Linked DNA regions of Sus scrofa. The protein of the gene in region 1 binds, or shares a complex with, the protein of each later gene. Links are inferred from orthologs where the notes say so. Each region holds a gene or a part of one and is shown on either strand. Other genes may lie near its edges. The genes, in order: GABBR2 and KCTD16.

Region 1 (3,811 bases):
CTCATCCATCTCAGAACCCCCACTACCCCACATACACCCCAGGGCAACCCTGGTGGGATGAAGCAGCCTCCCTGAGTTGATGTGCCTCCCCGCAAAGTACCGTGGTTCAATAGAAGAAGCAAGGGTCCTACCTTCTCCAGCTCTGATTCTGTTTCTATGAGCAAGTTATGCAAACTCTGTACCCTTACCTTGTCTTTATAATGGGAACAGCAATGCTTCTTTGGCCTGCTGGCTTTTGTGAAGGTCTGAGGGTTTTTTCCATCTGAGTGGCCAGGCACAGGGGACACAAGGAGACCTAAGAGTTCAGGAAATGCCCAGAGCAGGGCACATGGCCTGGGCACATCCACCAAAGCAGGCTTCACAACAGTGGAGGTGACTTACTGACCTGCCAATTGTGAAAACTGATGGTAAGACGTGGAAGGGTGTGGCAGTGAGCAGGGAGTTGGAAGGCAGCTTCTTTTCACGATGCTTCTCCGTCAGTCCTGCACACCCAGCCCTGGCTCAGCCCGGCCTCTGCTTTTTCCTGGCTGCATTTCAGGGAATTTAGCAAGGTTTCTGGGGGCATAGAGGAGGAAGGGGCTCACTCTCTGAGGGGTTTCACGCAAAGAAAATGACATCTAAACTGAATCTTAAAGGGAAAGCAGTCATCAGATGGGAAAGCAGAGGAAGAGCTTTTCCCGGCAGAGGAACAGCATGTGCAGAGGCACTGAAGAGTGCCCAAAAGCAGGGCTGTAGAGGAAACTAGGCGCCAGAGGGCAGGTTTGCAGGGAAATGGAGGTACAAGATTCACCTGGAGCATTTGACATAAGACAGATCTTGGGGAGCCCTGAATGCCCCATCCCAATGCTAGAGAGATAACACTGGTTGGTAACCAGAGAAGCTGAAAGATCAGGAAGGAACCTACTGGAATTGGCCGGGCAAGAAGGGCTGAGGTCCTGGGCAAGAGACAGTGGCAGAGAAGCCGATGAGGAAGGACAGAGCAGTTGAGAAGCCTTTTAGGGACAGAACCCAAAGCCAAGTCCACTTGGGGACTCACAAGAGCAGAGAATGGGAACTATCTGTGTTTGTAGCATAGCAGGGCCAAGCCTTATTCGTAGGAGTCACCAGACGCTCAAGAAGCCTGCCTCCTCCTTGTTTACTGTCACCCTGCTTCTTCCCAGGTCAGTAGTTAGCACACGTAGGCCTAGATTAAACACTTGCTACATGGGTGAGTGGTTAGATGACAAGATGGACAGATCTTGGATTCAGAGAGAACTGTACTCCTAACATCAGCTTCTTAGCCAAGGTGAGTCCAAGGAACGTCCCGGTGTGCAGCCACAAGCCTTCACTAACTGCCCCTCTTTCTCTCCCTGACACAGCATCCAGCGCCGGCTGTCCCTCCAGCTCCCCATCCTCCACCACGCCTACCTCCCATCCATTGGAGGCGTGGACGCCAGCTGTGTCAGCCCCTGCGTCAGCCCCACCGCCAGCCCCCGCCACAGACACGTGCCACCCTCCTTCCGAGTTATGGTCTCGGGCCTGTAAGTGGGGGAGGCCTGGGGCTGGGGCCTCCCCCGTGACGGAACCACACGGAGCAGAGGCGTCTGCTACAGGAACACTGTCAGCTCTGGCTGCAGAGAAACTGGCGCCACGGCTGGCCTTGCGGGACTACTCGGATGGCACTCGGTGCAGATGGGGGGCACTTGGCACCTGACCTTGCGCCTTATTTGTGAAGTTTTTATTCTTTCACAAAGAAGAGGAATGGAAATGACCTCTTCCTTAATGTCTGCAAAGGAGGAGGAGCTGGGATACATGAAACTTGGCAAAAAAAAAAATCCTAGACAAGGAGAAACTTACTAGAACTCCAGCTAGAAGTCACTGAGTGGTCCTGAGCAGCCCTGAGAAGAGGCAAGGGGCTTCTGGAGAACCGCCTCTGCCTCTGCACACATGCCACTGGCTGTGGCTCCCAGGCCAGCCCTTCTCCACTCTGGGGAAGGAGACAGGCAGGGCAGCCAGGCTCCCAGCTGCCAGTCCAGCCAACCCCAGACTTCCTGGAACAGGGAGTCTGCAGGAAGGGCAGCTGGGCACAGCTCTGCAGCGAGCGGCCTGAGGGCTGGGCAACCGAGGGCTGGGATACCGAGCAGGCTGACTCGCATGCCTCCCAGTGGGACCTTACTCTCTGATAAATGCCACCCATTAACACAATAACACCCGTTCTGGGACCGTGGGGATTTAGGGCACGTTGCTGCAGACCCACTCTGCAGCACTCACCCACAGTCGGCCATGCACCCACCACGTTGGCCATGTCCTTGTGTTTGTATCAGGTGTTCCCCATAATAAGGGGGCCACCGGAGCTAATCATGGAATGTCTGTTCCCAGCAAACATGATAAAGATTGTGCACTTTAACCTCTCTCATCAGGGCCCAAGGGCTGGCTGGGGTTTGGTTTTGTTTATTCCCACTGACTTTGTTTCTGACCAAAGTGAATCGGGAGCATTTTGCCAGAAGATATCCCTGTAGTCCTGGGGGTGAGAGTTATTAGCTGAGGACTTCTCTTAACTTCCCAGAAGGCAGCATTCATCCAGACAAGCCCGTGAGCTCTGCCCTTGGGGGTCCCAGAGGTGATAGATCAGCACACTGATTCTCACAAGATCACTCTTTCCTTTTAAATGAACCCCAAGGAGCACTGGCCTGGGAGTCAGACAGACCTGGGTTCAAGCCCTTGCTCCACTGTGACTCCCTCCAAGACCTTGGGGAAGTCGCTTATGTCTCTCTGAGCCTCAGTTTCCCCTAACAAATTGGGGTTGAAATAACACCTGTCCTGCCTACCTCACAGGGTCGCTCTGAGGATCAAAACTTGATCTTGTCTAGGAAAGCTTCATACCAAACAGTGAAGCAGCCCTGACCCGTGAGGTATCAGGATGAGCATGACCTTCAGCCCTCAGGACAGCCGGGGCTATAGCCCAGAGAAGCTCCCAGCACAGCCCTCTACCAGAATCCATCCGGCTGAAGGCTCCAGATGACTTTTGAGACATTCCTAGACAAGTTCATTCTTTGCTAAAGAAAGGCCTGAATGACAGTGTCCAGGACGTCTGCACAACTGAGCAGTCGCTTGCTCCCTAAAGTAACCTAATGGCAGCTTCAACAGGCAGGCAATAATCTCTTCCCAGACCACTGAAGTCAGGAATACAGTGTCACCACCAGGGTTTGACAAAAGGGCCCGCGGGAATCTTACCATCGCCAACATTTCAGAACACCCTATTTCACGTAGCATAGCTCTCCCCTCCCCAAAGAGAGGTTACGGAGGTACTGTAGCTTTTAGGGGGAAACAATGTTAACATATCACAGGTCAAGTTGAAGTCACTGTCTGTTTAGGCACTAAAAATCGGTGTTGTCACTCACTGTGTATTACCAGTATTTCCTTGCTTTCTTGATTTCACCAAAACCAGATTTAATTTAAAGGACCGCATTACTTTTTCAAAGGGAAAGAGACAATTCATTGTACATAATGTATACACACACACACACACACACACACAATAATACCTATAGAAATATTAATCCATCATAGCAGGAAAAAAAAAAAAACGAAAAACAAAGTATTGGAAGTTGGAGGTGAGTGTGTGCGTCCGTGACCCGCTGTGACTCCCGAGCGCGCAGTCTCCTAGGTTAACCCTCACAGTACATTCTGTTTTAATGATACTGTAGGTTCACCTGTTTTTGTTTTTGTTTCTTTAATTTCCCCACAAATAACAAGACCCACAGAAGTGACTCTAGCTATTTAACAGTTCTGTTCTTTTATATGCAGCAAACACACCGTACATTTCCGAAGA
Region 2 (4,287 bases), on another chromosome or scaffold:
AGGTGTAGCCCACCCACAGTTCACAAGGTGAAGGTCATCTGGTGAATGCTTTCTTTATATTTTTTCGGTCCTCCTCAGGGTGTTTCTCTTTGAGTGTGTGTGTGTGACCTCATTTCAAAAAGAGTCAACATTTGCGGAGTGCTGGGAAGGGGAGTCCCTGGCCACGTGATCTCCCTGGCTCCTCTCATTCCTCAGTTCTTCCTCAGAGGTTCTGCCCTGGACATGGAACGCAAACTTTTATGCTTGTGTATTCATCTCCTAGATTTTCTAAGATTCTCCAAGCAGCCCTTTCCCCCAAAACCTTAAGTACGACTGGTCTCAAAAATATCCTAACCTATGAAACCCAGATCAATGAACAGAGCTCCTCATTTTTGAAATTTAGAACACTCTTCTTTTAAATTGTAAGGATATTTTAGCCTTGCAATTTCACTTATTACTAACAATTCTTTTCAATGACTTGCTGTTTTTTTTTTGAAATGCATAACAGGAGTTCCTGTCGTGCCTCAGTGGTTGACGAATCTGACTAGGAACCATGCGGTTGCAGGTTCAATCCCTGGCCTTGCTCAGTGGGTTAAGGATCCAGCGTTGCTGTGAGCCGTGGTGTAGGTCGCAGACGCAGCTCGGATCCCACGTTGCTGTGGCTGTGGTGTAGGCCAGTAGCTACAGCTCCGATTAGACCCCTAGCCTGGGAATCTCCATATGCCACAGGAGCGGCCCAAGAAATGGCATAAAGACAAAAAAAAAAAAAGAAAGAAATGCGAAATAAACATGTTTCCTTATTTGCCGCCTTTCCATCTTTATTCTAGAATCCATAATGTTAAAAACAAAACATTGATGGTACTGAATAGGCAATGATCTGAACCCTACCCTCATGCTCCACAGCTGTGTGGCCCTGTGGAAAAGCTTTCCCTCTCTGGTACTCAGCCTCTGTAGCTCTAAGAGGAGATGGTGATTCCATTTCTCAAGTTCCTTTTAGCTTTATAGGACCATGGTTTTTTTTCTTCCTCTCATGCTTTACTTCCTGCCAAATTGCCCCTCAAATATTTTAATAGCCCATCTCCAAAGTCATTGTCATGGCATACTGCCCTACTCCGTTAGATACTAAACAATTGGCTTTTAACTGTGAACAAATTCGGTACTTAATAAGCATAAATTCAAACTTATTTATACCCTGTATCTGATGGCAAATAACTGTTTACTTTGTAATTTTGATGAACAGAACCTTTCAGGTAAAACTCAAATCACTATAAAAAAAACTTTAAAATAAAGGAAAACTCTAACTTTGGGCTCAAGTAGGTTGCCAGATACACATCTGCAGTGATAGCATAGGGACACTAGATGGCGATATGAGTGCACCAAATAATAAACATTTCCTTGACTGGTCCAGTGTTAAAATCCCAGTGATTAAGGCCAGAACAGGTTAATATATTAGTTAAAGAAACAAAGTCAACTATAATTAGGTGTTAGAGTGTTAGCTAATACTCTGAATGTGTTCAGTAACCTGATACTTAGTGAAAGAAAAGAGTGTTAAATTAGAAATTAATTTACATGACTGCTGAGTCTACGTTCAAGCTAATTCTTGGGGCAAGAGTTGGCAATAAACATGTGTGTCCCATAAAATGGATCTAATTCATACTTTCCTGTCCACTTTTGGTTTTGGGGTTTTTTTAATAGCAGTTGTTTGGAATGGAGTGTGCCTTACATATATTATTCATCGACAAAGTACTATATTCTCATTAGGAATGTGAGTCCTAAGACATTGGTGTTTTAAAGGGGAAATGGCTGACTTACTGTAAGCTGTTGGCTGGGCCATTATTGACTGGCAGGATCAACTGGAAGCACTTTGTTAGTGGATTAGGTTGCCCTGGAAATGCCTTTCTGAAAGTCTAATGATGCACTTAAGGGAACCCTCTGGGACAGGAGTAAAATGTCTCTTAGCAGGCGTGTCTTCCACCAGAGTCCTCTTGGGATGAAATGGGAGGGGGCCGGCCACATCCAGAGAGATGCTCAGTAAGGAAACAACCCCAGGAAAAGGTTGCAGGTAACAATTTCTTACATGGAAGCGAAGATAACGCCTTACTGACAGGAACTCTGAGTTTTCTGAAGGTACCAGCGCTTCGTGTATTCTTTTGAAAGAGCACCATTAATTCCAGAGATTGCATGTGTGCATGGATGTATATATTCATTTACTAAATGCTTATTTATTTGCTGGGGTAGGGGTGGCGGAGGGATGGAGAAGGAAAAGACAAGAGAGCGCAACTGAGAGAATATGGTTTGATCCTCTCTGATTGGAGAAAAAAAAAAAAGCCCTTCTGTAGGTTGAACATCGGGGTCACTGGGTGTTTTGTTGCTGTTGTTTGTTTGTTTTCTTAAACAAGCTTTAGAGGGGGAAATTTGCCCTTCGGCAGAAATTCAGTGCACGTGCGCAAAGGGCTTGTTGGGGGTTTTTTGTTAATGAAAAATCGCTGTGTTTATCTCACCACTGGGTGAAGGGGTTGTTTCCGGCGGCTGGGGGGGCGGTGGAGGTCTAAAGACAGGAAAAAGGGCAAAGCAAAGGAAACTCCAGACTCGCGGGCAGGACGGGAGGGAAGTGGCTAGGCAGCGCTGGTCCCCGCCCCAAGCCCCAGCGCGCCCCGGGAGTCGCGTGCCCACGGCCAGAGCGCGGCGTTCCCGTGCAGTCCTGGCGACCTGTCACCGGGGAGGACGTGACTCGGAGCTGCCTCCGCTTCCTCCAAGCCATATTCCTTTAAGATGATGTAATAGTCATTTCCCTGGATGGTTTCTTGCCTGCACTGCTGAAACAACAGCATCCTAACTGCACTGGGAACTGTGGAACCACCCAGAGCCGCCGCCGCCGCCGAGAAGCCGGAGCCCGAGCCCCCGACCGCATCTCTGCGCAGCGGCGGCTGCCGGCTCCCACCTGGCTGGGAACATGGGAGTCCGCTTGCCCTTGCCGGCAGGTGGGTGACTACCTGGCACCCCAGCAGGGCACATCTGTCTTTCTTTCTGCTTCTGGGCTTTCTGCAAAGCTTCTAAGTCCCAGTACCTCTTGCAACTCTCTTCTGTTTTAAGGATTCTTTCCAAAGGTTGGATTTTTTTTTTTTTTCTGCCCCTGGAGAGGCTTTGGTTGAATATTTTTCTCTGCTTTGCTTTTTCAATCCAACCACCTCTCATCACGGTTTAACTTTTTTGTGACTTGTTTTAACTTGAGATCGGGAGTGGATATCTACATACATATACACAAATATACATTTATATAAATATTTATATATATATATAATAATTATTATTTTCTAAGAGCACATCTCTCTGGCACTTTTCATTGATACCTCTGTCCTTTCCCTCTTTGGGATTTGACAAGCTCCAGACTGTGTGTGGCTGTGGATTTGGACGGCTTCGCAAATGGGTATTTCTTCACAAGAACTGTGTTTCCAGCATTCGCTAAGGTAAGTTCCCAGGCTTATTGCTCTCCCTCTCTAGCCAGAAGAAGAAGAAGAAAAAAAATCCCCTTTTAGAAGTTGAAAATTGCATATTCCTTTTTAATGCTGAAATAAAAATGGAGATGTTTTTAATACTGAAATGCTGGAGACAGAGGAATATGAATAGATAGGTAGACACAAAATAGCTTGAGAGAAGCTATGGCTTAGTTGAAGAATGGCTGAAATCAGTAGTTCCAGGGCTGCTTATGTAAAATAATCTCTCCCTCCCTCCCTCCCCTGCTTTCCTCCCTCCCTCCCTCTCTTTCTCCTCCTTTTTTTTTTTCTTTTTCTGACTCATGCTGGGTTTGAGGAAATAATTTTCTCTCTTTTCCTTCAGACAGACCTCTCAGTAACTGGGGACCTGGCCTGCCCTGCCTACTGAGCTCGGGAGAAGATCAGGTGGAGATGAGTTGATTATATTCCATGAAGTAATAGCTCCTCACCTGCCAGGGTTTAAACTACTTTTGCAGCATCGCTTCACCTGTGGACTCTTTGAAATTTTGCTTTCTTGGGAAAAAAAAAAAACAAAAAAAAAAACCGGGGTAAGAGGAGGTTGTTTTGAACAAGTTAGCGTCTTTTCCCTCCCTTCCAAGTTGATACAAAGGAGCAGGCTGTGACTCCATTGGATTTTGCACCTTCACATCAAAATAGGAGAAGAAAAGAGGGACCATGGCTCTGAGTGGAAACTGTGGTCGTTATTATGCTCGAGAACAGGGGGCTGCAGTTCCCAACTCCTTCCCCGAGGTCGTGGAGCTGAATGTTGGGGGTCAGGTTTATTTCACTCGCCATTCCACACTAATAAGCATCC

The links.
Region 2: the proteins of GABBR2 (region 1) and KCTD16 are in contact, whole or in part, in a crystal structure (PDB 6M8R), measured with the Homo sapiens proteins. The link is inferred for Sus scrofa from reciprocal best matches to the Homo sapiens genes GABBR2 and KCTD16. Residues at the interface, in NP_005449.5 of Homo sapiens: Ile882, Asn883, Ile888, Gln889, Arg891, Leu892, Ser893, Leu894, Gln895, Leu896, Pro897, Ile898, Leu899; in NP_001357415.1 of Homo sapiens: Asn30, Gly32, Gly33, Gln34, Val35, Tyr36, Asp64, Leu65, Ala66, Lys67, Asp68, Ser69, Arg72, Phe74, Gly79, Phe80, Arg83.

The regions. Positions count from the first base shown.
Region 1 is NC_010443.5:240,107,641-240,111,451, reverse strand, and holds part of GABBR2 (gamma-aminobutyric acid type B receptor subunit 2), read left to right. Parts: intron 1-1,358; coding exon 1,359-1,524; 3' UTR 1,525-3,811. UniProt on the Homo sapiens protein: Component of a heterodimeric G-protein coupled receptor for GABA, formed by GABBR1 and GABBR2. Within the heterodimeric GABA receptor, only GABBR1 seems to bind agonists, while GABBR2 mediates coupling to G proteins.
Region 2 is NC_010444.4:145,703,312-145,707,598, forward strand, and holds the start of KCTD16 (BTB/POZ domain-containing protein KCTD16), read left to right. Parts: upstream 1-1,390; 5' UTR 1,391-2,106; intron 2,107-2,203; exon of another isoform or gene 2,204-3,361; 5' UTR 3,362-3,446; intron 3,447-3,816; 5' UTR 3,817-4,148; coding exon 4,149-4,287. UniProt on the Homo sapiens protein: Auxiliary subunit of GABA-B receptors that determine the pharmacology and kinetics of the receptor response. Increases agonist potency and markedly alter the G-protein signaling of the receptors by accelerating onset and promoting desensitization.